Linked DNA regions of Mus musculus. The main gene of each other region encodes a partner of the protein of the gene in region 6 in a complex. Links are inferred from orthologs where the notes say so. Each region holds a gene or a part of one and is shown on either strand. Other genes may lie near its edges.

Evidence for each region.
Region 1: B9d1 (region 6) and Tmem216 share a complex: the UniProt entries of both Homo sapiens proteins name them as parts of the tectonic-like complex. The link is inferred for Mus musculus from reciprocal best matches to the Homo sapiens genes B9D1 and TMEM216.
Region 2: B9d1 (region 6) and Cep290 share a complex: the UniProt entries of both Homo sapiens proteins name them as parts of the tectonic-like complex. The link is inferred for Mus musculus from reciprocal best matches to the Homo sapiens genes B9D1 and CEP290.
Region 3: B9d1 (region 6) and Tmem67 share a complex: the UniProt entries of both Homo sapiens proteins name them as parts of the tectonic-like complex. The link is inferred for Mus musculus from reciprocal best matches to the Homo sapiens genes B9D1 and TMEM67.
Region 4: B9d1 (region 6) and Tctn1 share a complex: the UniProt entries of both Homo sapiens proteins name them as parts of the tectonic-like complex. The link is inferred for Mus musculus from reciprocal best matches to the Homo sapiens genes B9D1 and TCTN1.
Region 5: B9d1 (region 6) and Cc2d2a share a complex: the UniProt entries of both Homo sapiens proteins name them as parts of the tectonic-like complex. The link is inferred for Mus musculus from reciprocal best matches to the Homo sapiens genes B9D1 and CC2D2A.
Region 7: B9d1 (region 6) and Tmem107 share a complex: the UniProt entries of both Homo sapiens proteins name them as parts of the tectonic-like complex. The link is inferred for Mus musculus from reciprocal best matches to the Homo sapiens genes B9D1 and TMEM107.

What each region holds. Positions count from the first base shown.
Region 1 is NC_000085.6:10,552,964-10,557,257, reverse strand, and holds the start of Tmem216 (transmembrane protein 216), read left to right. Parts: upstream 1-1,494; 5' UTR 1,495-1,532; coding exon 1,533-1,545; exon of another isoform or gene 1,546-1,559; intron 1,560-2,093; coding exon 2,094-2,195; intron 2,196-2,636; coding exon 2,637-2,729; intron 2,730-4,294. UniProt on the Homo sapiens protein: Part of the tectonic-like complex which is required for tissue-specific ciliogenesis and may regulate ciliary membrane composition.
Region 2 is NC_000076.6:100,511,582-100,515,081, reverse strand, and holds part of Cep290 (centrosomal protein of 290 kDa), read right to left. Parts: intron 2,796-3,500; coding exon 2,683-2,795; intron 2,499-2,682; coding exon of another isoform or gene 1,740-2,498; intron 1,522-1,739; coding exon of another isoform or gene 1,429-1,521; intron 1,163-1,428; coding exon 1,078-1,162; intron 625-1,077; coding exon 482-624; intron 1-481. UniProt on the Homo sapiens protein: Involved in early and late steps in cilia formation. Its association with CCP110 is required for inhibition of primary cilia formation by CCP110.
Region 3 is NC_000070.6:12,085,138-12,089,217, forward strand, and holds the start of Tmem67 (meckelin precursor), read right to left. Parts: upstream 2,801-4,080; coding exon 2,578-2,800; intron 864-2,577; coding exon 775-863; intron 1-774. UniProt on the Homo sapiens protein: Required for ciliary structure and function. Part of the tectonic-like complex which is required for tissue-specific ciliogenesis and may regulate ciliary membrane composition.
Region 4 is NC_000071.6:122,254,461-122,257,960, forward strand, and holds part of Tctn1 (tectonic-1 precursor), read right to left. Parts: intron 3,162-3,500; coding exon 3,010-3,161; intron 124-3,009; coding exon 24-123; intron 1-23. UniProt on the Homo sapiens protein: Component of the tectonic-like complex, a complex localized at the transition zone of primary cilia and acting as a barrier that prevents diffusion of transmembrane proteins between the cilia and plasma membranes.
Region 5 is NC_000071.6:43,700,379-43,703,878, forward strand, and holds part of Cc2d2a (coiled-coil and C2 domain-containing protein 2A), read left to right. Parts: intron 1-2,812; coding exon 2,813-2,969; intron 2,970-3,482; coding exon 3,483-3,500. UniProt on the Homo sapiens protein: Component of the tectonic-like complex, a complex localized at the transition zone of primary cilia and acting as a barrier that prevents diffusion of transmembrane proteins between the cilia and plasma membranes.
Region 6 is NC_000077.6:61,510,788-61,513,431, reverse strand, and holds the end of B9d1 (B9 domain-containing protein 1 isoform 1 precursor), read right to left. Parts: intron 1,061-2,644; coding exon 993-1,060; intron 781-992; coding exon 638-780; 3' UTR 501-637; downstream 1-500. UniProt on the Homo sapiens protein: Component of the tectonic-like complex, a complex localized at the transition zone of primary cilia and acting as a barrier that prevents diffusion of transmembrane proteins between the cilia and plasma membranes.
Region 7 is NC_000077.6:69,069,597-69,073,608, forward strand, and holds Tmem107 (transmembrane protein 107), read left to right. Parts: upstream 1-1,212; 5' UTR 1,213-1,350; coding exon 1,351-1,437; intron 1,438-1,627; coding exon 1,628-1,695; intron 1,696-1,777; coding exon 1,778-1,878; intron 1,879-2,826; coding exon 2,827-2,923; coding exon of another isoform or gene 2,924-3,002; exon of another isoform or gene 3,003-3,149; coding exon 3,150-3,219; 3' UTR 3,220-3,697; downstream 3,698-4,012. UniProt on the Homo sapiens protein: Plays a role in cilia formation and embryonic patterning. Requires for normal Sonic hedgehog (Shh) signaling in the neural tube and acts in combination with GLI2 and GLI3 to pattern ventral and intermediate neuronal cell types.

The DNA.
Region 1 (4,294 bases), on a different chromosome or scaffold from region 6:
GCTGAGTTTTATTTGTGGCTTACTAAAGAAAAGTGTGTAAGAGCACGGCTATAGATAAAGCCCAGTGGGGAGTGTTTGCTTAGCAGCCCCAAGCTTTGGGTTAGACCCCAGAGGGCAGGAGACCCAGCTGCATATTCTAAGGTTCCTGCAGGTTACTGACTTAGTCTGTGTCCACTTTTGGTACCTATGCTGTTGTGGCATCCTGACATGAAACAGCATCATTTTCTTAACCAACCAGGTGATATTAAGGCTATAGATTATATCATCTCTGTTGACAATGGGTAAACTTTTCACTGTAGCATGAGAACTATATGTGTATACAATATCAAAATGTTTAGGCAGAGTGATTTAAGACCCATAATTTACAAAAACAAGCAACTGGTCCACCCTCCTTTCCTCTGAGACTCAGAGCAGGGGTGTGTATGAAGGTAGTTCAGATGGGGTGCAGGGACCAGGGCTTTCTCCATCACCTCACCTTGCCGTGGTCCTTTAGTGGGAACTTAGAATTCCATTTAAGACCTGCCAGAACATTGTGACACCCACTTGAAACCCCTGTACTGGACGGGAAGCAGAGGCAGGAGAATTTGAGGCCTGCCTAGCCTACATAGGAGACCTGTCTAGCCAAACTAAACCAGACCTGAATAAGGCAGTGGAAGGCACAAGCAGAAGTGAAGGAGGAAGGAGAGCAGAGGTGGAGGTGGGGAGTGATGGAGGGAGGCTTCTACTTAAATTATTCTCCCGGAGTGAGGACCTGCTTTGAGAAGCAACAATTACTGCCTTTATCCACACTCCTACTAGGTAGGGAAATAGCACTTTCATTACAGGTTACTTACTCTCTCCCGTTATTTGTTGACTGACTGCCATACTCTAAGGGCTGACAGCTGGAGTCTTTTCAGAAATCTTACTCTTTCACCCCCTGCCTGCAACAACACGCTCTTGCTTCAAATTGCGGCCAGGGTTCGTTCATAGCGCAAGCTTGTTGGAAACATTTCTCAATTTCCAACTGGCCAGACGCTGTCTCCTTTCAACACCCTTGCACTCTTTGGGTCGCAGGAGAATCTCATTATAGCACCGCTGTTTTCCCTTGTACTCCTAGAAAGGACATTCTATCTTCAACGGTTTTGGTGTTTACATAGGCTCCAGGTAAGCCTTTTGCACGACAGTGGCATGGGGTGTTTTTAAAAAAAACACATGCAGTAGAAAAGAGAATGGTGGGCGCAGGGCCGATCCTCCAACTACTCGGCCACACCGGGCCACTAACGACCTACGCCATGACGCCGGGGATGGAGAGAGTTCAGCTGGAGAAGTGTTCTGGTCTCTCTGCCGTCGTTTAAAACCCCATCCTCCCCCTAGACCACTGTAGGTGGTTGACGGCTGGCGCTGTTCTGTGCATGGGCGCGGCCGGTGGGGTAACCATAGAGTAGCACCGGCAGGCAGAGCGGCCAGAAGACCGGGCGGCTCGGTGCCGCGCTTCCGGCAGCGCCGCATTGCTCCGGGCGCTGCAGTGTACGCAGTTTCCATGGGGACTGAACATGGCGCCGCGAGGTGAGACTCTGGAGGTGTGTGTCTCTGCCCCTTATCCCACGGGTACCTGCCAGCCCCCTCCACCTCTCTGTCTCCAGAGCTCGACCTAATCCTCCATTTCTAAAAGTCGGGGTCTTACTCTTCACTTGTCTAAATCGGGCTTGGGTTGTTCTGATCACCCCGAGTGCCTGCATGGGTACTCGAATACCGTACTCTTAAAAATCCCCGGCTGGCCCTATTCTGGGATGGCTCAGTTATGAATCCTCCCGCCTTGGACAGAATTAGTTTCTGTGCCTCAATTTCCCCCTCAGAAGTGACAGGGTTGAATATTTGAGGTGCCTCTCAGCTGTGATTATAGCTGAATTGTCAGAGAAGTAGATGTCAAAGTGATTCCTGAGAAAGGAGATTGAAGGCAGTTCCTGCCACACCAACACTCACGTCATTAGCAATCAGAAGTTTCTCCCTCATTCACAATAATCTTGTGATTTCTCCGGATTACAAAGAACCTTCACACAGAACAGAGTAGAGCTCTAGCTGCCCTGCCCATTCTTTGTTTTGCTTTCTTTCAGATAAAAGATTGTCCTCAACCCCCCTGGAAGTCCTGTTCTTTCTGAATGGGTGGTACTATGCTACCTATTTCCTGCTGGAGCTCCTTATTTTCCTGTACAAAGGTAAGCCTGGGCCTATCTGCCTCTGCCCCAGCAACCCTTTTCCACTTTAGCATACTCCAAGAACCTTCTATCTTCTGGTCCTAGCGGCATCTCCATTGCAAGGCAGAAGTCTCTCCAACTAATGGCTTTAGAATGATCAAATAGGATGTCTTTCAGCAAGACTTGAGTTTGAGAAATGTGGGTTTCTCCATCCCAACTCTTTCCCCATCTCTCTTTACTAAAATATTCAGATCTGTGTACCATTATAATTCAGTCATTTGGCAGAGTCAGGACTTGGAAACTTAAAGCCTGTAGCTGTAACAATCTATACCTTGCTGATTTGTGAGATGTTAAGACTGGTTGGTATCCTTGTCCCGGGTTTGTGGCCGTCCATCCTTGTGGGGCCGTGGGGCTGACCGTTAGCTAGGTGGTGTGTGCATACTCTGGCTTTCCCTCCTGTAGGGCTCCTGTTGCCGTACCCAACAGCCAACTTAGTCCTGGATGTGGTGATGCTGCTGCTCTATCTTGGCATTGAAGTCATACGATTGTTTTTCGGTGAGTGTTGTTCAGAAAATATTTCCATTGCTTATGAGACATGCTGGAGCCTGTAACTTGATTAACAAGACAAAGAACCTAGGCTCACTATCAGAGTGGATCTGGTAATGTATATACCATTGCTTCTTCCCTGAGGCTTCAAGCTGCCGCTTCATATTCTAGGTCAAGGTTTACCTGTGTGTTTGTGAGTGAGGCTAGAAGCGGGCAGTAGCACTGATCTTAGACCAGTCCTCCCAGCTGCCTGAGTGCCACAAGAGTGCCTGCGTCTTCTCCTTGCTCTGAGAGAGGAAAGCAGTACATTCCTAAAGAGCTCAAGATCCCCTCCGCTTCTCTAAACAAGGATTTCTCTAGAAGTTCCTAGACACCAGAGAACAGAGCAAAACTGCTGATTACTTAGAATATATCATCCTAGTGCGAAAATACAAACCTAAGGGAGAGAATGGTAAGGGATACTAACAGTCAATTCACAAAAGTCATTATAGAGGACCAAAAACCTTGCTAAGGTGAGCATGGTGGCACATGCCTTTAATCCCAGTACCCTCTGGCAGAGACAAGGGGATGGCTATGCATTCAATTAGACATAATGAATTCCAGTGCAGACAGGGATGCGTAGTTAAATAGATCTTAAATAGATCCTAGCTAAAAAAATAAAACAAAACACCAAAACAATAACAACACTTGCCAATGTGCTCAAACCTAGTAAAGAAAAGCAAGAAAAATAAGGTAAAAAAATTTTTTTTTATATATTGGCATTAGTCAGAAAGATTTATACAGTACAGTATCCATATTTGGCTTGTGATATACATATTTTTTAATTAAAAGTCATTATTTTATGCCGATGGATATTTTGCCTGTATGTATGCCTGTATACTACATGTATGTCTGGTGCCCACAGAGGTCAGAAGAAGGTCTTAGGCTAGAGATGGCTCAGAGGTCTAAAAGGACTTTTAAACCTCCTGCTTTTGCAAGAGGACCCCAGTTTAGTTCCGAGCATCCACATCAGGTAACTCACAACTGCCTGAAACTCCAGCTTCGGGGATCCAATGTTGTCTTCTGGCCTTTGTAGGCACACACAAACACCCAAGTGAGAATTAAAAGTTAAAAAGAAGAAGAAAAGGGCATCAGATCTTCTGGAACTACAGTTACAGACTGTTAAGCTGCCATGTGGGTGAACCTGGGCCCTCAGGAAGGTCAGCAAGTGCTCTTAACCACCCATGATCCATCTCTGTAGCCCTAAAGAACAGATATTTTGTTTTTGTTTTTTTGTTTTTTCGAGACAGGGTTTCTCTGTGTTGCCCTGGCTGTCCTGGAACTCACTCTGTACACCAGGATGGCCTCGAACTCAGAAATCCGCCTGCCTCTGCCTCCCAAGTGCTGGGATTAAAGACGTGTGACACCACGCCCGTCTAAGAACAGATATTTTTAATGCACTTAAATTATTGTACATATTAATTGAAGTTTTAATGTATATACACATTTGCATACACACATGCATATTATAGCTATACATATTTTACATATACACATATAAATTACTATGTGTATACACATGGATATATGTATAC
Region 2 (3,500 bases), on a different chromosome or scaffold from region 6:
AGTCAAGAAAAATATGCCTTTAAATAACTAATCATCTTTCCATGCTCACTGCAATGTCTAATATGCTATTTATATTTCTTATGAAGTAATATTTATAAAATTTAAGTTTAGTGTATTTATTACACAGTAATTACTTCATTAAAATAAATAGCATTTAGTAAATATTTATAGATTAGAAAATGATCAGCACTCATGAGCCAGCTTATTAGCTGAGCAAATAACTTTGACTCCTTCCATGTCCACGTCCTCACTCATCTATCACGTAGAGCATCAGTCGGCCAGCCTGTGGACGCAGTGCTGAGCAGCTGTAGCTGGCACCAGCTGTCTGCATTTGCCTGCCACAACAGGCTATGCCTGGAATATAATTTGTCCTTTTTCTTATGTTGCTTTTTAACTGAGTATTTTATCACAGCATCAAAATGAAACCAATACAGGAGATGAGTTGGCTGAATGCAGACATTAACGTGAAAACATAACTTACGTTAACCAGTCTTTCAAGACTCGGGATGATTAAAGATGTTTCACCTCCTTTCACATCAGAATCCTTCGGCATGTCCTTAATAGCTTGCAAAATTTCTTTCATACCTTCTTCAAGTTGCTTATTTTCTTCGACTAATTCTTTTACTGTAATTATAATTTTTTCACGTTAAATGAATAGGTCTTTTCTACAACATATTACTTCTTGTTTCATGACAGATTTCAAATGGAAAAAAAATGAAAAACAAACAAGGAAATAAAAAATTCAACTATAAATTCAACATAAATGCTGAATTAAACACCACACCTGTTTTAGTAATATACATATGCAAATATATAAATGAAAATTAATATATATGTAAATACAGATAGATATAGCATAGCTTTGACCTATTAAAAATCTTTAAATGTTTATAAGTTTACCTTCACTTGAGCATAAAATATGTGACACATATTTTCATAAAAACTGGAAATATTCTATAACAATAAACATAGCAATGTAAACTACAAAGCTAAGTAACATAGACTGAGCTATATATTATAAAGGCAATTAAAGATTTAAAAAATGGAGCAGATAAGAAAGACATAAGAGTGACTTACGTTTACTCTGGAATTTAGCAATTACTGTCCTACTTCTTTCTAAATCTTTTTCCTTTTCAGCCAATTCTCTTGAAAGAAACTCATTCTGAACAAAGAGAATAAAAATGTGTTATATCTCAGTAATAAGCAGGTTTCAAGTTAAAACAATGCTTTACTGATTCAAGTTTAGCCCACCAGAAAACAAGCTAGAGCAGCATAGCAGTTATAAAGTCCAGAGGGCAAAACAGAGATGGCCACGATTCTACCACCTCATTCACCCACATTCCCCATGGCAGGGCACAGAGATATACAGGGGTTTTCTGTCTTTAGCGTCAACTATATCGTTGTCTTAATGGTCGATCTTTACACTACCTGTTCTGCCTGGCTTCTCTGATGGTCAAGTTCTAATTCTGCATTTCTACTCTGCTCTTCTTGGATCGGTAAGTCCTGAACTATGGTTTCGTTCTAAAGAAACATTTAATGTATTAATTAGGGGAGTCAACAAATTTAATGCAAATATACTGCAACTTTAGATTTTTTAAAAGTATAGATTTGTTATACATGAGTGTTAATGTGTAAGTAAAAAGAAATCTTTCCAGAATTTTTTAGAGAACTCCGGTTAATAGTAATAGTAATAGTAGTAGCCCAGGAATTGCATGAATCTATTTGGAAAGGAAGCTCACCTGAGACCTAAGGAACGCTAGCTGGCGCTGTGGCTGCCCTATGAGCTTTTCAAGGGGGTGTATCAGAGACGGTTTGGACTGGGCAGTAATGGGCACAAGATCTGAAAGATTCACTTGGGTCTTACTGCTCAGCATCTCAGTTTGGGAGGGTAATTCACTTTGTCCTTTATCGTCTTTCAAACTGAGAACGGCATGCTCTATTTGAGAATAGACCTGGTTATCTTCTGACGTTACTTTATCCACATCACGGTCATACGACTGTTGAGGAAATATTGCGGAGCTCTGCCTATGTGATAGTTTCTGCATTAATTCTGCAGCTGCTGGTGACACTTGAAAAGATGAACTGCTCTTCTGTAGGAACCTGGTTTTCTCTAGACCTCGATGGTTTCCTGACCCTCTCTTCATATGGTCATCAGAGAGAGAGCATAAGTATTCACTTAGTTCTTCACTGCCGTCCTTACTGAAGGTACTGACTAACGATTCTAGCTTTCTCAAAGATCGTAGGCATGGTGCTTTAAAAATCTCCCTTATTGTAATAGCTTCTGGAGTTGCACTGCTGTCTTTCACTTGCATAAATGAGGAGCATCTGGTTAAGGAGACAATAGGGTCCCCTGCACTGCCTACACTCTGATGGATTCCAGACAGCATTCTCGATAAGGATCGTGTGGCCATGTTCTCCTCTGCCTCACTTTGATCTGACTGTACAACACTGAATGATGGCCTCCTATGCAGCAGCTCTGTTTTAGCTGAACTCTTAATCTGTATGCAAAGTAAATAATGTCTCATTAATCAATCTTCTGATCACCACACTATTTAAACAAGCAAAAATTATTATTTAATAAGCTAAGGGGGCAGATGTGCTAAATGAGGTTAAGTGAAGAAAAATACCCAACTGCTAGCATTTTTCCTTCTTCTTAAGTCAGAGCATTACTGTTTTATTTACCTTTGATTGTGTTTCATTCATATTATTGAGGCTCATAAAATTTAGTTTTCTTCCTTCTATTTTATTTTCATGAGAAAAGGTTTCAGATAAGTTCAAGTCGTCAATGGTTAATCCTACAAGACGAAAGAAATAACAAATAAGAAGCAGCAACAACAAAAATAATAACTCTTTTATCCTAATACAAGAATAAAGTTTTAACGCAAAAAATGGTTTAATATTTTTAAAATCTTTGACCAACATGCAGCCAATATAACTTTGATCTAGCTTATTTTAATAAGCTATATCAATAAGGCAATAATTTGAATTTTATCATCTTTATCATTTTATTCTGTATTAATTTTAAAGTACCCATTAATAAGTAGTAAGACATTTTAAAAATATAAAGAAATAAATTAAAACCCATAAATTTTTACTGTATATATTTACATTTTACTTTTTTTGTGTGTGCTGCTGGCAAGTGACTTTGTGCAGGTTCTATACATGGTAGACAAGTGTCCCAATACTAGGGTTTCACCCGAGGCTAGCATAACATGGCAGAAAAGGGGGCAGAAATATTTTAGGAGCCAGAGGACCAGGACATCTGAGCAAAGATAGAGTCTTTTGTACACGACATAGAAGTTACACCCATGAAACTGCAACAGCACAGCCGTTTAAACAAGACCTGAACAATGAAAATGCCAGTTAATATACTAACATGGACAGGGAAAATGACACTGGGCCTCAACACTAGATGAAAAGTTACAGGAAATTGAAAAATGCTGAGAGAGGGAGAATTTGTCTTCCCCTTAGATAAGTCCTCTACCCAGTATACCAATGCC
Region 3 (4,080 bases), on a different chromosome or scaffold from region 6:
TAGTCGAATTTCCCTGAACCATTATGTAATGAGGAAACTAAGCAAACTTCGAATGATTCCATTTCTATTGATGCAACCGGCAATGCATCGACTTGCTGTACCTAATGTAGCATGAGGATTGCTGAACCTCATGTAGCATTAGGAGGATCAAGCATCATTTAAGACGATCAGCACAGTACATCTAAGACAGCGAATGCCATCTACAGCAAAGACATTTTACCCCGAATGGCTCTACATAGGGAATACTCAGCTTCTCTTTATACCCTAGTTATTCTGTGAGGCAAACAGAAAGATTTTTTTTCACAGCTTTGTACTTGGGATATCTGACTCAACCACTTTCAGAACAAAATGAATTTGTCTTTTTTCCCCAAAGTTTTCTTCTTTGCTTTACTGATCTCTCAAAATGTATACTAATAAAATTACCTTAATAAGTTTAAAGTAGCGGGGCGTGGTGGCGCACGCCTTTAATCCCAGCACTTGGGAGGCAGAGGCAGGCGGATTTCTGAGTTCTAGGCCAGCCTGGTCTACAGAGTGAGTTCCAGTACAGCCAAGGCTACACAGAGAAACCCTGTCTCAAAAAACCAAAAAAAAACAAAAAAACAAAAAAACAAAAAAAAAAACAAAACAAAAAAAGCAAAACAAAAAAACAACAACAAAAAACCCAAAACAAAAAAAGTTTAAAGTATGTGAACAAATGGGAAATTATACTGAAGTCTGAGAGATAGACATTTATGACTTTTTCTCAAAAGTTATTTTAAAATAAATTATTCATACCATGTTTTCTGGACACTTTTTACAAATAATAGAAGGTCCTCCATTATTAGAGATCATATGATATCCTGGTAGACATACACAGGAAGTTCCTGAAAAGAAAAAGAAAAAAAAAAAAACAAAGCTGATATTGTCCTTAGCAAACAAAACTCCAAGACACAAACTTAACAGTTCTTAGGATTTTGAAGCTTGGAGTGGTGGTGTATACCTGTAACCTCAGTATTTAGGAGGAAGAGGCAGGAAGTTCAGGCAGTACTTCAAGGGTATCCCTGCTCACAGACAGTGCGAGGCCAGACTGGGCATTATATGAGAGACAACAGGTGTCTTTGTCTGTCTGTCTCTCTGTCTGTCTGTCTGTGCATGTATATGTGTCTATGGGTCTGTGCGTATACATGCAAACACTGAGTGGGTTAATGAATTCTATACTTCGGCTTCTTGTTTAGTAAAATGGAGAAAAAAACAGGACCTACCTAATAGGGTCAAAGTTTAGAAATATGTCTGGCATCATGTTGCTACTTTTTAAACTGCAATTATTATTGAACTATGAAAACTACTTACTTGCTCTAGGAATTACATTTCTGCATCACTAAACCATATGTATGTGTGTTTAGTGAGTTTTAATTTTGTCAATATCTTATTGGAAAATTGCTTTCATTCAAATACTCTTTCTCTAGAAAGAAAATAAATGTTGTTTGTAATTACAAGTAGACTCAGCTAGTTAAAGAAAGAATTCTCTAAGGACTAAGTAGAGCCAGCACCTGTAGGAGTCTATGTACAACACACACGTCTTCATTCATTGTCATGAAAGCAATACAATGCAGAACACGTTTGCTCTTCACACTCCATCTTCTGACACAGTGATCCGCACTGCCTTAAGTGAGACTCTACCAGGCCTAAAGCAGGAGAGTTAACCAGTCTGAGATTCACAGCATTTTAGACTTCAGTAAATAGGAAAAGACTCATTCTGAGTAGTTAAGGGAGAACTAGACCAATCGATGCAATTAAGTCTAAAAGGACAATGTGAGCAAACAGAAGTCATCAACAATAAAAGGGACAGGTCCTAAGGGAATATGTAACCACAGATGCAAAGCCACGCGCTGGGAATGCAGAGGTAGAAAGTGAGGGAAGCCAGGTGTCCTGGCCCACGCCTTTAATCCCAGCACTCAGGAGGCAGAGGCAGGCGGATTTCTGAGTTCGAGGCCAGCCTGGCCTACAAAGTGAGAGTTCCAGGACAGCCAGGGCTACACAGAGAAACCCTGTGTCGAAAAACAAAACAAAACAAAAAACAAAAAAGAAAGTGAGGAAGAGACAAGAGTTCTCTTAGTTTCCAGTATATGTCACACAGATGTCACAACATCTCGGTTTCAGTTTCCTTTGCTTACAAAATCTGATTATAGTCACAGTTGCAAACAGCTTTAAATATCTTGAATTTGGAAGTAGAATTAATGGTCACAAGAGTTTACTAATTCACATTTCTTCCCTTGCTTTCCTGTCAGGGTACCTCACTAGACGCCTCAGGTTATTTCTTTTCTATTTCTATTCTACTTTTCTTAGGCGGCTTTCAGGTGCCATCCTAAGGATTCCCTGCCAGAGACTGACTCCGGGGAATGAGTTCCTGGAGGAGGGTAGGGTGGTGGCGCCTGGGTGACTGATCTCATTGTGTCAGCCGTATCCTCCCAGGAAACCCTTTCTTAGGTTTGATAGCTGTGCATTTTCTGAAACATTCTCCAAATAAAATGTCTGGAGTGCTGGCTGTCAGGAGTGCTTTATTTTGGTCAGAGTCCATCCACCCCCAAACCGCCTCACCTAGTGCATCCCGCCGCTGGTTGGCGCCACAGGGGGCACAGGAGAGCGCCGAGATGTCAAAGTACTGGTTGAAGTCGCAGGTCTCAGGCCGCCGGAAAGGGAAGGAGAAGATTTGTGCCCATGAGACTTCGCAGAGAACTAAGAGAAGGTAGGCGGTGCCAGTCCGGGATGAAGAACGAGATCTGACCGCCATGGCCGCCACAGGCCTTGTACGCGTCACCATGGTACCCATATCCTGGGTCCGCAGTCTCCAGCTCCCCAGCAGCCTCCTCGGTGAGTCCGCTGAGCTGATTGGACAACAGGGTTCAGAAAAAAAAAAAAAAAAAAAAAAAAAAACTCAACCTTGCGACGCCTGGTTGCTAGGTTACCACGCACGCGGGAAACAATGGATCAGACATATGCTAAATAAATTAGGGGCGGTTATTTAAAATGTATTTAAAACTCTGGGACGCAGTCAATTTACCGTGTCAGGAAATACTACTACAGCAATGGAAAATATATGGTTTTAGCACTTAAAAGTGTTTCATGAAAGTGGCAATCACACCTACATGACAGTTTACCCAGGGGATTAATTTTGACAACAAAGGAGGTGCCCTATGTTTTTACTTTTTTTGTTTGTTTTGTTCTGATTTTCGAGACAGGGTTTCTCTGTATAGTCCTGGCTGTCCTGGAACTCACTTTGTAGGCCAGGCTAGCCACGAACTCAGAAATCCCGCCTGCCTCTGCCTCTACAGTGCTGGGATTAAAGGCGTGCACCACCATGCCCGGCTTTGTTTTTACATTATTTAAAAAACACTAAGGGTAGGGATTGTTTCAAGTCCTGAGTTTGAGTTTTAGCAAAGCAATACAAACAGAAACCCTCATTGATTTTATATATAATACCTTTATGACAAAAGTCTAGGAGAAACCTTGCCTACTGAATCTTGATTTCATACTTTCTCTGTATTGTGCATAAAGCACCCTACATATACACCTCATCTCACTTGGTTTGAGAACCAAATTTGGATATACATGAATATTGCCTATTAAAGTGCACAGCCTTGCAGACTGTTAGCGCAACAATGCCTAATAAAAGCCTCATTCTCCCTTTCTCCCCTGTCCCTGGTTCTCCTCCCTCTCCCAGAGGATAACTCTATTTCCCATCCCAATAAACCCCCGACTGGAGAACTGCCACATAGTGTGATTGTTGGGAATTGTCACATACACCTAACAGCACAGTAATAAAAGGTTGAAGGGATGCTTTCTGTAATACATACTTTAGGTAAGGCAGCCCGAAGGCCTGTTGTAAATACAGCTTGCTTTTATCTGCCTATGCAACTGCCCTGTTTTTCTCAGGTTTAACAGAAATCACAGGAGAGGATGGAAAACTCTGCAGCTTTCCACTTCCAAAGCGGTTCATTATGATGAAAAGAAAAAAAAGAAACCTTTTTGATTTGTATATTTTACAATTGCCTCACATCCCCGCCCCCCAGTGGAAGTTTTCAGGGGTGGGTCAGGGGCTCA
Region 4 (3,500 bases), on a different chromosome or scaffold from region 6:
GAAGAGCAGCAGCTCCCTCTTACCTGCGGGGTTCTGATCTGCACACAGAGATGACGTGAGAGGCGAGGGCAGTTTCAGAAATGACCCTGAAGATGCTCCTGCAGTCTGCAGAGGGGCTCCATACTGCAAACAAAGCACCCACAGGTTAGATAAGGTGCTCCTTCAGCATGGGCGAGACACATGGCAATGCTCACAGAGCGGGGGAATTGGGGACACAGTACTAAGCACAGTCCCTGCCACACAGTGCCCATATATAGCTATGGGTTTGGAGACACAGTACTGGGTACAGTCCCTGCCATGCAGGGCTCATATATAGTTGTGGGTTTGGGGACTCAGTGCTGAACATAGTTCCTACTGACACAGAGGGTTTGGGAATACAGTGATGAGCACGAGTGTGTGTTTGTGTGTGTGTGTGCGCGCACGTGCAAGAGTGCATGCAAGCGCTCATTCTCGGCTGTCAATCACATCCACACACACCTTTTTAAAATAAATTTTGTGTATTATACACCTTTAATCCCAGCACTCAGGAGGCAGAGGCAGATGGACCTCTGTGAGTTTGAGGTCAGCCTTATCTATATAGTCCTGGGCTAGCCAGGTCTACACAGCCAAAACTGTTACATAACAGTTTCCTCCAAGACTAAAACATTCCACCCTGAAGGAACAATCCTTAAGCAGGAAGGTAAACAACTCACAAGAGCCTCAGGAAGTCCCTGAAGCTGGCTAGCTTCACTAGGCCCCTCCCTGCCAAGAGTAAGCAATAAAAGCAGAGTTTCTCTGAGTCTAGCAGAACTGAGATGCAGAGAGACTCTCAGTGAGCGTCTGCAAGAGGCTTAAGCCAGTAAGTAGTTCTCAATCTTTCACAGGGCTCATCTAAGACCGTCCTGAATATATGATATTCGCTTTACAATTCATAACAGTAGCAAAATGACAGTTATGATGTAGCAACGAAAATAATTTTATGGCTAAGGGTCACAACAACATGAGGAACTAACTATATTAGAGGATCACAGCATTCGAAAGGTTGAGAACCACTGCTCTAGCCCCTTAAAATTTATGTATTTATTGAGATGACTTAATTTGTTGCCCAAGCTAGTCTTGAACTCCTCCAGGGCTTAAGTGGTCCTCTTGCCTCAACCTCCCAATACTGGGATTAAAGTTGCTTGGGATAGGTGTGGTGGTTCAAGCCTTTACCCAGGTTTAACTGTGTCCTCTACTTGGGAGGCAGAGGCAGGCAGATGAGGTCAGCTAGGTCCACACAGGGAGTTAGTTCTAGGTGAAAAAGGGTTACACAGTGAGATCCTATCTCAGATAAATTAATAGAGGCTCAGAAGAATGTGTGTGTACACGTGTGTGTGTGTGTGTCTGTGGACAGGAATCAGATGGCTGAGCACAGACATGAACAAATCACTGTTCATTTTCATGGTAGTTGTGATACTCATTAAAATCTTATAAGATTGTATGTGTTTGTGAATGGGGAAGGGCCCACAGAGGTCAGAGGTCATCTAGTTGTCTTCATCTTAGTTTTTGAGACAAGGTCTCTCTATTCACAACAACAGAAGCTGGAAGCTTATGTCTGCAAAGACAGGATGGTGGCACAGGAGGGGCAGGTGTTTTGATAGTTAAGAGCACGGACTGCTCTTGCAGCAGGGCGTCCTGCCCAGGCAGTAGGCAGGAATGCTGGAAAGCCTGACATGATGCCTGGCAGGCAGCGAATGCTCCAGGAGCAGCAACCAATCTTCATATTGACACGGGAAGACACAGAGTCTGTCACAGAAAAAAAGTGTCCTAGGATGATGTTTCTAACTGTGACCCCCAGCACCACAGTTCTCTCCACAGCTTGTAGATGAACTTACAAACCAGGATGAGCAGGGCCGAGCTCTTCCTGGCCATGTGCAATGTGGATCCTCTGGGCCCAGTGAGCCGGTGGGACTGATGCCAGCCACACCCTGGGGCACACCAAGCATGAGCTCCACCAGGGGCCTCTGCATTTTCCTGAGGCTCCTTTGTGACGTCCAACTCTGACGACTAGTGCGCACGGTGCTTTCCTCATCAGAGGACGCTGCTGAAAAGGTGTTCTTTCTCTATTCTGTGTGTGTGTGCGTGTGTGTGTGTGTGTGTGTGTGTGATGTACCTGTCTAGGCACACGGACACACCTGTGTGTGATTGCACAGACACATGGATGCATGTGCAAACGCGGGCTTGAGGTTGATGTCAGACATCATCTTCAATCTCTCACCCACCATATTCAGTGAAACAGGGTCTCTCAATCAAGCCCTGAGCTTGCAGGTGAAGCGAGTCTGTAGCTAGCCTGCTCCTGAGAATCCCATGTCCACCCTTCAATGCTGAAATGACAGGCAGGCCAGCACAACCCCATCAGCATTTACATGGACAGTGGAGATTTGAACTCCTGTCTTGGTGCCTGTGGCTAAGGGCTTAAGCACTCAGTTATCCCGACGTCCGTCTGCTCTGTTCTGAGGCAGGGTCTCATGGAGGTCACGCTACTTTATGTGTGAGCTCCCACCTCTCCAGCTCCCAAGGCTGAGATGACCGGTGGGCGCCAGCAAGCCCAGCTTCTAAAGCTGACCACATTCAACATTAACGAGTCATTCTTTACGGGCTTGCTAACGAAAGGATATAAAATAGCCTGTAGGTTCCTAATGTCTGTAAAACTAAATATGACCGAGATGAGTACCTGGCGTCCAGAGAGCCCAGTCCCTGTGCCAGAGGCGGCTGCAGTCAGTCCGCTACACACATGCACTAGGGTTCAAAAGAACAGAAAATTCCACAGAGACAAAATTCAGTACAGAAGTGACTTCACATCCTGAGTGCAGAATCTGAGCGCTCGCCTGCATTCTCATGATCTTTGACAGAGAGTAGCATCCACTCTCCGTGCTCTCGTGGATGTCCCAAGGGCAGGCAGTTTGCCTTTATATGTTGATACTGAAATTCGCTTCTAAGGATAGAGTATTTCAGGATGTATGAACAGCTGCCATCGGGTTGTTGGCTCACCTCGTATTTAGTGGGCTGTGGGCCATCTGATGCGGCTGTGGAAGGAACAGCGGATTCGGCACTCAGTGTAAAGCCACCTGATGTCTGCATCAGTCTGTCAAAATTGTTTTCATCAGGCACTTCTGGATTAGCAAAAGACAGTGCAGGCTTGTCTGTAGACAAAGCATTGGAAATCAGCAGGAATGTATAGAGTATGTGACATCACACCTTTGGAAACCACTGTTAATAGCAATAAAACCCCTAGAAGAAAACAGTCTTTCCGGGCTGTCTAGACGGCAGGCCTCACTTCAGTTTGATCCCTAGGACTTACACAGAAGAAAGAGCCTCTAAAACAGTCACCCTCTAGTCTACACAAACACACATGCACACACATTTAATTTTAAAATGTTTTCTTGTACATTTGCCTCTCCCAGGATTTCTCGAGGCTTGTTAAATGAACAGGATCCCTAATCATCATGAGTTTGAGACCACCCTGGTCTGTGTGGTCAACA
Region 5 (3,500 bases), on a different chromosome or scaffold from region 6:
TTCAGACACACCAGAAGAGGGCATTGGATCCCATTACAGGGGATTGTGAGCCACCATGTGGTTGCTGGGAATTGAACTCAGGACCTCTGGAAGAGCTCTTAACTGCTGAGCCATCTCTCCAGCCCTGAGAATATACAATTTAATATTGCTTGTTTTCCACTTTTAAAGACTCAATGTGTAAATACACAATTCTTTGTGCTATGTATATTTCCGTGATTGACAGTATCTAGGTGAGACGTTGTCTCAGTCAAGAGAATGCTTGCAGCATAAGCATAAAGACATGAGTTCAGATCCCAAGCACCCATGAGAAAAGCTAGGCATGCTTTCACAAGTTTGGAATTCTGGTGCTTGGAAGTTGGGGTCAGGACAGATGGATCCCAGAGGTCCCTCGCCAGCCAGGGTAGCCAACTGATGAGAACCAAGTTTAGGAAGAGAGGCTGTCTCAAAAGATAAGGCTGAGGACAATAGTGGAAGACACTCAACATGTCAACATGTATCCATACATACTACACACACACACACACACACACACATACTCACACACACGCCCCACAAACTTTGCTACATAAGAGTTTCAGACTTGCCTTTTAGTGTGCTCGCACCTCAGTTTCCTGGATGCATGTCCCTGGAAGTGAAATTGTTTTCTCCCATTTGACATGCTGACTCCAAATGCACTTGAGAGGTGTGATATCCCTTAATGCCGTCACCAGTGTCCCTGTCACCTGGTATACTTTCTATTCTCCTGACTTCTCATAAGGCTGGGTTTATTATGCCTCCTTTACCTGCCTGTGATTTGCATGCCTTCTGAAGATACCTGGGACCTGAACTTGCACATGAAATGTGCTCCAGGTACCCAGGACCTCTCTGTTCTCAGGAGATCTTCCCCCTTCTTCCTTCCCACCCTGCCCCCCCATTCATTTCTGCCCCTCCCTCTTCCTTTTTCCCTCTAGTGAGAAACTTTTAGTTTTAAAACATAGAATATGCTCCTGTTTGTTGTCTGGTACTTTCTGTCTCCTGTTTCATACAGATAACTACTTCACCATCTCCTACAATCTTCCTAGCTATCTGTTTCCCATTTCCTTTTCAATCCAGTTGCAGTTGTTCCTTGTTTGTAGTATAGGAAAGATATGCTTTGCTGACCCGTGTGATTCCTAGTTCAGGAGAACTCCATACATCAGTAGGAATGTAGTTTAATGCCCCACTGTGCTGTCGATTTCCATGAAGACTCTCTCTGCAACTGCTATTGGTCCCTTTCTGGGCATCTCTTTGGGGCATGGTGTACCCATACATATGTGAGAAAAGTAACAAACTAAGGCATTTATCTAGCACTTTGCTTAACAACAGATACTTTCCAGTTGAAAATAATTATAAATTTTGATGGAGAAGCTGTAATTGTCCAAAACTGAAACCATTCATAACATGTTCAGGGCAAATACAAGTGTGATTGCCCTTTGAGGCAGGAGCCTTGCCACATTGGGTACATGGAACTAGCAGGGTACCTCCCACTTAGTATCTATTCAAAATGCTGAGTCAAAAATATTTCAAGCTAGAGATACAGCTCAGTAGTAGAGCCCTTGCCTAGATTTAGCCAAGACATTAGCTTCAGTCCTCAGCCATATACAATCAATCAATCAATCCATACATACATAAATAAATGTATGTCCCAAACCTCCCCCACAAGTTTCTCTCAAGATTTGTTTCTGCACACAAATATTGGACTAACCCTCATAGTTTTAGGCAATGGAGAAATTTACCGAGTATGAAACCAGGAAGGTAGACCACACCAGGTAAAAATGAGTCAGCAGTCCATACCCAGCACCAACTCCAGACTGCCAGGCTGACACAGGTGTGGCTTGTCTGTTGTGCCCCCCTCAAAACCTCCCCAGTCAGGAATGAGGAAAAGGCTCCTTGTAGACGAGCAGGGGACCTTCACATCTATTTAACCCAGTACCTTAGTTAGGATTTCATTGCTGTGAAGGGACACCATGAGCAAGGCAATAAAGAAAAAATATTTAAGTGGGGCTGGCTTACAGTTTCAGAGGTTCAGTCCATTACCATCATGAAGGGAAACATGGCATCATGCAGGCAGGCATGGTGCTTGAGGAGCAGCGAGTTCTACATCTTGATCAACAGGCAGTAGAAAGAAACTGTGTGTGACACTGGGCACAACTTGAGCATATATGAGGCTTGGAAGCCATCCTCCACAGTGACACACTTTCTCCAATAAGGCCACACCTCCTAATAGTGCCACTCCCTATGGGTCAAGCATTCATACATGGGAGTCTATGGGGGCCATACCTATTGAAACCATCACAATTACTGAGATGGTTGTAAAGGGCATTTCCGTACTACAGACATCTACAGAATGCACTGTGGATATACTCTTGTTATTGGGATGAACTAATGGCTTGTCAACAAAATCATAAGGAAACAACCTGAAGTCATCAACCCAAGTTCAGGAAGTGGCTTAAGGGACTCAGTAACAAAGACATAATAAAACTATTCAAATGAGTCCCCAGGCCCTTTGGAGTAGAATTTACTCCACCTTGGCAACCCACAGGGACAATTATCCAGAGTGGCCCTATTACTAAGTGGTCCACAGCTCTTCCCCATGTATACTCACAGGCTAGTTTCTTAACTGTCTGTGTTAATGTCTCTTCAGGGTTGATGATAGCGTGAGGCTCACAGCTTAATACAAGCAATGGTTTTAGACAAGACCCTGGCACAGGGCAAGCCCAGCACTATATCTGCTGCATGGTCACCATCTTACGTCATTCCAAGAAATAACCACGATCTGCAAATTCATTTAAAGGGAAAAAGTTGACCCGAAACTAGATGAGGATGCATATGAAGCCGAGATTCAAGCTGAGATCCATGAACTGCTGGAGGAACACATGGAGGAATATGCAACAAAGATGGAAGAGTACAGAACATCTCATCAGCAATGGAAAGCCTGGAGGAAAGCCCAGGTTTGCAAAGCATCACTCAGCATCACTGCAGTGGGGCTGCCTAGGGAGGGCCTTGGAAGGCAAACCCCTGAGGCAGGAGGAGGGACGCTAGACCAACAGGCCACACCTAGGGCTCCCTCCGACTCTTTTGTTAGGGAGGCCCAAAAGGGATTGATTGGGTAATATCTTTTTTCCAAAAAGCCACTCAGACACCATATTGATAGCACTGTGTATAATCAGTAATGTACATGTCGAATGTGTATTTGCCATGCATGGAGGGTGTTGATGCCCCTACTGAATGCTCTTCAGATGTTGCCTCATTTCAGAAGCTGTGTGTGTGTGTGTGTGTGTGTGTGTGTGTGTGTGTGTGTGTGGTGTCTGTTTGTCTCCACTTTGGGGGAGAACCAAAGCACAGGGAAATGATGTTAGAGACGGGCTGAGGGGGGGGGGGTGTCCAGTTCTCTCTGTTCTCAGTGCCATGCTGCTGAAAGCCAGTCCCGGAGACTTGAAACCAGGTCACCTTCTACCCAACAGAGGGCCAAAAAGAAGAAA
Region 6 (2,644 bases):
TGGTGTAGTGTGACTACATGTTTATGTGTCACCACTACCAACAAACATGGAAAAAACTAGAGGCCCAGTTGCTTTCCCATAGATGCCAGGGTGCTAGGCTGCGGAGCTTGCCAGAAACCCACGCTGGTGGTACAGCCTCCTGCCTGGGATGGCTCTTGCCCCATCCTCAGGGTCCAGCACATGAGAATTAGGATGGGTGTGGGGAATAGGAATGGAGGGTGGAAGGCAGGTGCCCCAAGGAGTACTTGTTACAGATTCTGCTAACAATGTAAACAGTCATAGCGGCAGCCATGGAACAAGTGACTTTTAACTTCCTGCTGCTGAGGAAGACAAGTTTTAGAAAGGAGTGCTGAGGCAGTGAAGGGGTGGGTGTCAGCTCTGTGCAAGCTGCTGACAATCCTGGAGAGGCCCCCACTGACCATAGCATCCTACTTGGGTCTATTCTGTTGGGCCCCAGGCCTGTTCCTGTTAGGTGCTAATCAAGAAATGAAGGCCCCAGAACCTCTGAAAAACATGTGACACTTTATTATATAAAACTACCTTTAGCTCCCCTGTTTCCCAGCCTGGTTGGCATGTCCTTGGCTGTGTGTGGGCTGTAGGGCATCTGGTCCACAGTGGCGGACAGAAGGGCTGATTTTTATTGTGGGTTGCCCTGTGGCAGGCTAGGACCCAGGACTCCTTGTGTGTCCACAGGCCCAGTATCATAGCCCAGCTTCTTCATGTCCTTGGTCACCACATTGAAGAGGAGGGTAACAAATCCCTGAGAGCGAACACGAGTCACTGGGGACAGAAGCTGGGCATTAGCTGGATTTGACCGGGGCAGACATGGTAAACCACCCGCTGAAGCCCTTGTGTAAGTGGTGGGTGTCTTGTATATTACTAGGTCCCAGTTGTCTGGAAGCTCCCTCACCTTTACAATCTCTTTTCTGGGCTTCTGGGGAGTTGGGGGCCCATCTCAACCCTCAAGTTACGGTTGGGAGCATCAGTCTTACCTTCCCGGCCTTCACCCTGGGCCACCACCTTGGGGTCTGTGTACTCGGGTCGCCGTCCCATGAACCAGCTGAGAACATAGGAAAACACGGTGAGGAGTACTTGGGACTTGCTGACTTCAGACACTGAGCCAGAGTGTTCTAGGCTTAAAGAAGTGTTTCTCCTACAACCCCTCCTCTAGGTGCTAGGACAACCTCTTAACTATTTGAAGGGTCCATTGCCAACAGTTCTAGCAGTGCTTACGCCAGCTGCCCCAAGGAGCATCCAGCCTGCCTAGCCAATTCTTTGGTGGTTTTAACCAAGGATGAATGTTAAAGGAGATGTGGGGCAAATAGTGCAACCCGAACCCATGGAAACCCCCAAAAGAAACAGGTGGGTCAGAAGGGTGGAAGCAAAACAGTGTGACCCTTAATCTCCTCAGAGAGAGCCTAATCCCAAGAAGGGCCAGATCCAGCTTCCCAAGCTTTGCCTCCTTATATGGGATGCAGAACAAGCCACACCCCATCACTGAACCTGTTTGTCTACTATAAGGTAATAGCACCTACCTCATGAGACTACATGAAGTGAAGGCACCCCATCACCTGCCGCATAAAACATTACCCTTCTAGGGAGGATCTGGCCCTGGGTGGCTGTGGATAACGACAGGTCATCTGACTTTTTTAAGTCTCACCTAGCTAAGTTAGCCCCCAGGCCCTAGCTGGCAAACTAAGAAGCACTCCTACAAATGTCTTGTAATTCACAATCCTACTGCACCCAAACTTCAGATCCTGGGCCCTACCCATGCCTCTAAGACAAATGGTTACAGATCCAGCGTTTTGGTGGAAACCATAGGCTTGGAGCATATAGGATTAGTCTAAGCATAGCAGCCAGGACCAACTTAGGCTTTGTGGAACAACACCAGCATTCCTGTTTGAGGCGGTAGATTTGTCTTCTCCCTGGGCAGTTTGTGGCAGGCTTTCTGGTAACCATGACTACACATCCACTACGTACAGCTATGCTGAGGGTATGGCTAGATTTTTGGGCTTCCAGGCCTGTTAGACTGCTGGGTGGGAGTTCCTGAGGGGGCCCCAGGAGGAGGAGAATTGTTCAGACAACCAAAGTAAAGAAGCCAGGGTTCCTACAGCTAAGCATTCCAGAAGAAACTAGGTGAGTGGGTGTCTCTCTTCTATTTCCCCATCATAGAGCAAAGTTGAAAGTGCACTCACCTGAGTACTATGAGGAGTCTCAGAGAGCAATCCCACCATCACCATATGTCCAGTTCTCTTCTATAGTCATGGTTACCAGAAAGCCTGCTACAAACTTCCCAGAAAGAAGACAACGTTCTACCTTCTCAGGCACACCAGAATGCTGGTGGCGTTGTTTCACAAAGTTCTCTATACATTTCTTTTTATTAAAGAAAAAAAAAAAAACCAAAAAACTTTTTTTACATTTAGTTATTTTATGAGTATACTGTAGCTGTCTTTAGACACACCAGAAGAGGGCATCAGATCCCATGACAGATGGTTGTGAGCCACCATGTGGTTGCTGGGAATTGCACTCAGGACCTCTGGGAGAGCAGTCAGTGCCCTTAACCACTGAGCCATCTCTCCAGCCCTACATTTCTTTTAAATGAAAAAAAAAATTTTTTTTTTTTCATTTGAGAAGAGACAGAACA
Region 7 (4,012 bases), about 7.6 Mb from region 6:
CTACCCCCCGTTCATTTAGAAGACCTCCAGTCTGTCTTTCATGACCTTTAACTGGCTTAGGAAAGGGAACCCCATGTATTACTTTAGGGAGACAGAATCATTTCTTCTTCTTCTTCTTCTTCTTCTTCTTCTTCTTCCTCCTCCTCCTCCTCCTCCTCCTCCTCCACCTCCTTCCTCTCTCTCTCTGCCAATTCCTTGAAACAAAAATTTAAGAAGTATCTATTTTCAAAGCTTCCCTTTGATATTATTCTAGTATTATCTTTTAATTTAAAAAAATTATAGCACGCATTACCTCGCTGGGTTTTGTTCTTGTTTTGGCTGTTATCAATCTCCCCACCTAGAATATAACCTGGAGGGACTTTATCGAGGTACTCTCAGATTTGGGGCACAGTGCCTGGCATCTGGGAGACATCAAATATTTGTTGAATAGATGAAATCCCTCTGGTCCTGAGCCTTGTCTTTTGGGCTGGTTTAGAGGCACAAAGAAAAAGGAATGGAGGGACCAGAGAGTGCAAGTGGGATGGGAGGTCCATTGACATGGGACTTGATTGTGAACTGGAAAGTGCTGAGAACTTTCCGATTCTCCGATCTGCAGGGATTTCATCCGAAGCCCCAAATCGGTCACATCACCCTAAGAAGAGGTTCTTGGTCTGTAACTGAGCAATGTCCGGGGCCTAACAACTCAGAGCAAGAGTGAAATCGGTGGTGGGTCAGCGTCCCAGCCTAGGCTAAGCGCAAGCAGTTCCAGTCCCCCGCTCCATTCTTCACCCTTTCAGATCCCCTCGGTTCCCGAGGCAGTCACCTCACCCACATCCAATTTTAACCATCCCAAGGCTGCTCATTTCTGCACTCGGCAAATCTCTCATGACACGGAGACAAGTTATTTAGGAAGAAATTAGAGTCATTCTTCGGCAAAGTTTTGCTCTAGGGCGGAAGGGGGAGTCCTCTGACAACCAGGGGCTAGGGGACTTAGCCTGACCCTGGGACAAGCTCGGTGCATCAGCCTCTCCTCGTTCGTCCCCTCGACTCCTAGCGCCCAAGGCAGTGAGTGGGAAGCACAGGAGAAGGGAGGATTTGGTGGTTCTGGCTGCATCCTCTTGGGTCCATCAACGGCTCACGTACCGCGCCTATAGACGTTGGTAGAGGGAGCAGCACTATCGCGAGACTTCCGAAAGCAGCAGCGTGGCGCTTGCGGACGCAGTTACCATGGCAGCCGGGCGGCGCCCGAGCGCGCGGGAAGGACACTTAAGTAGAGAGGTCTGGCCTGCTTGCTCAGGGAGACTTGATGAGTGACCCACCCCAGACTTCCAACCTCAAAACCCACGGCCTCCACTCGAGGCCCCCGAGGCCATGGGTCGGATCTCCGGGCTCGTGCCCTCTCGGTTCCTGACGCTCTTGGCTCATCTGGTGGTTGTCATCACGTTGTTCTGGTCCCGGGTAAGACGCGGACAGGGCGCGCGTGCGCGTGCCCTCCTGGCCCTCCCATTCTCATCTTGGAGTGGACCCAGCTCAGCTCAGTCCACTCACACAGGGTCCGTTCGTTGCTCCGTTCCCCGGCCCCTTCCCAACTTGTCCCCGCAGCCCCATTCCTCTTTTGACATTTCTTTCTTTCTGCCCGGCTCGCCAGGAAAGCAACATCCAGGCTTGCCTGCCTCTCAAATTCACCCCGGAGGAATACGAAAAGCAGGACAACCAGTGAGCTCTTGGGGCGGGGTGAGAGTGCAGGGGTCTTCAACAGAATCCAGAAACCTTGGTCCAAGCCCTTTTCTCTCTGCAGGCTGGTAGCCGCGCTCTGTCTCACCCTGGGCCTCTTTGCAGTGGAGCTGGCTGGCTTCCTCTCAGGAGTCTCCATGTTCAATAGCACCCAGAGCCTCCTCTGTATCCTTTTTATTTGGCCATCGTCCTCAGGTGACTCATCCCAGTTACCACTCTTTCCACCTCTGTAGGCCTTTGGGGCACAAGTGTCTGCTCTACATGGTAAACCGAATCTCTCTCTAGGTGAGAGGTTTTAGACACTGTTGGGGAATTAATAGACTTCAAACATTCGTTAAATCCGGATGTGAGCCAGGTTCTGGCGATCCCTGGATGGGAGTAAAATCATTTTATCCCGTTTGAAGAGGTGGCAGACAAACATCTGTAAATCAGTGTGATTAAACAGTATGCTTGTAGGTGTGTGTAAAATACAAAGCACTATGGGAACTCAGAAGGGACCAAGAAAATAGAGCCCAGGTGTGGTTCTGCAAGCCTTTAATCCTAGTGCACGGGAGGCAGGGGCAGGTGAATTTTTTGGGTTTTTTTAAATCTTATTTTACTTATATATTTAGGTTATCTAAGACAGGGTTTCTCTATGTAGACCTAGGCTGTCCTGGAACTCAGTAGACCAGGCTGGCCTCGAACTCCGAAATCCACCTGCCTCTGCCTCCCAAGTGCTGGATTAAAGGCATGCACCACCACTGCCTGGCTTGTTTTGTTTTGTTTGTTTGTTTGTGTTTTTAAAAAGGTAGCTCTTTACTCTTGAATTGTGGACAAGGAAGACCAGGGCACTGGAGAAATCCCCAGTGTATCAGATCTGTAGGTATTCTTGTGTGGCCTAGGGCATATATGACATTAACCTTCCCAGAAGTGTACAGAGTGTACAGGGAGAGGTCCTATCAAAGCAAACTCAGCTCTGGTCTCTTACACATAACTGTCCATAAATTCAGAAGGCATTGGCTGCCAACTCTGGCGCTTGTCTTAAGGGAAGGGTACAAGCTGAACCCAAGTCCAGGTACCAACGGGGCCCATCACGAACCGATTACTTTCCTTGACCCCCTCTGTATTGTTAAGCCATTGCAGCCCACTGTAGCGCGTCTGTGGCCCTGTCTTTCTTCGTATTCGAGCGATGGGAATGTACCACGTACTGGTACATTTTTACCTTCTGCAGGTGCCCTAGCACCCAATATTTTGGAATGGGGGGGGGTGGTGGAAAATCGATCCCAAATCTGAAGGTTTCCCCCACCTAGACCTTTCCTGCACATGTGAAATTGGTAGAGTTTTGAAGAGTCATACCCACCCTAACCCACCCGCATATAAGGTTTGGAGGTTCAAGTGTTTGGGTTGGAAGGGGCTCTAACTCCCCCCCCTCCCCCGCGGCCCCGTACTTTTCACAGCGCCTTCCCAGCTGTCACTGAAACTGCATTATTCATCGCTGTCTTTGGGCTGAAAAAGAAACCCTTCTGATCACAATCCGGGTGTAGGGACCAAGGCTGGAAAAGTGATGAAGCTTCCTCCCACTGCTGCAAGAAAAAGGCAGAGGCTTCAGTTTTCTCTCGCCCAAGTCCCTTGCTCCTCCCAACTGCGGCTAAGCAGAGGATGGCAGTGTTGGAATAAGATCTCTCAAATCTTGGATTATAATTTTATTAGAGTTTTGTAATAAAATTTATTTTATAACAAGAGCAAGGCGTATACTATTTTTCAGAAGACCATTGGATGGGCCAAGAGGCTGGTATAAATAAAGGCTTTTATCTTGTGGTTAGGGCTAGAAGTAATGCTTCTATTTGGGTTTTTACGCTAGAAGCTAGGCGGAAGTGAGTGGGCGGGGATATGCAAATAACTATCTCACATAGCGCTTCTAATTTGCCGCGTGTGAGGGGAGCATTCTGGGATGGTTTTGTTTCTCCCTTTTTGTGCCGAATGGAGAATAAAATACTTCAAACGACTTGCAAATAGATATTATTCTTGCGTTGCAAGAACTGTAAGTCACTGGGCTCGTGCTAAAGTGACGTATTCTCACCCTTCCTTTAATAGGAAATGTCTCTACTTATTTAGCAATGGGCTCCCTCTGCCTTTTATCGTCAGGAGGTTAATCCTTACCTGTTCCTCCTTTCGGAGGGCAGTAGAAAATGATGATTGGAGCTTGCATGATCTGCTGATTAGCATTTCCATGCAATCAGGACCTGACAACATCCTGGTTGCTCCTATCTGATTCCCTGGCGATCACACTTTTCCAATGTGCTGATTGGTAGACCTTTAC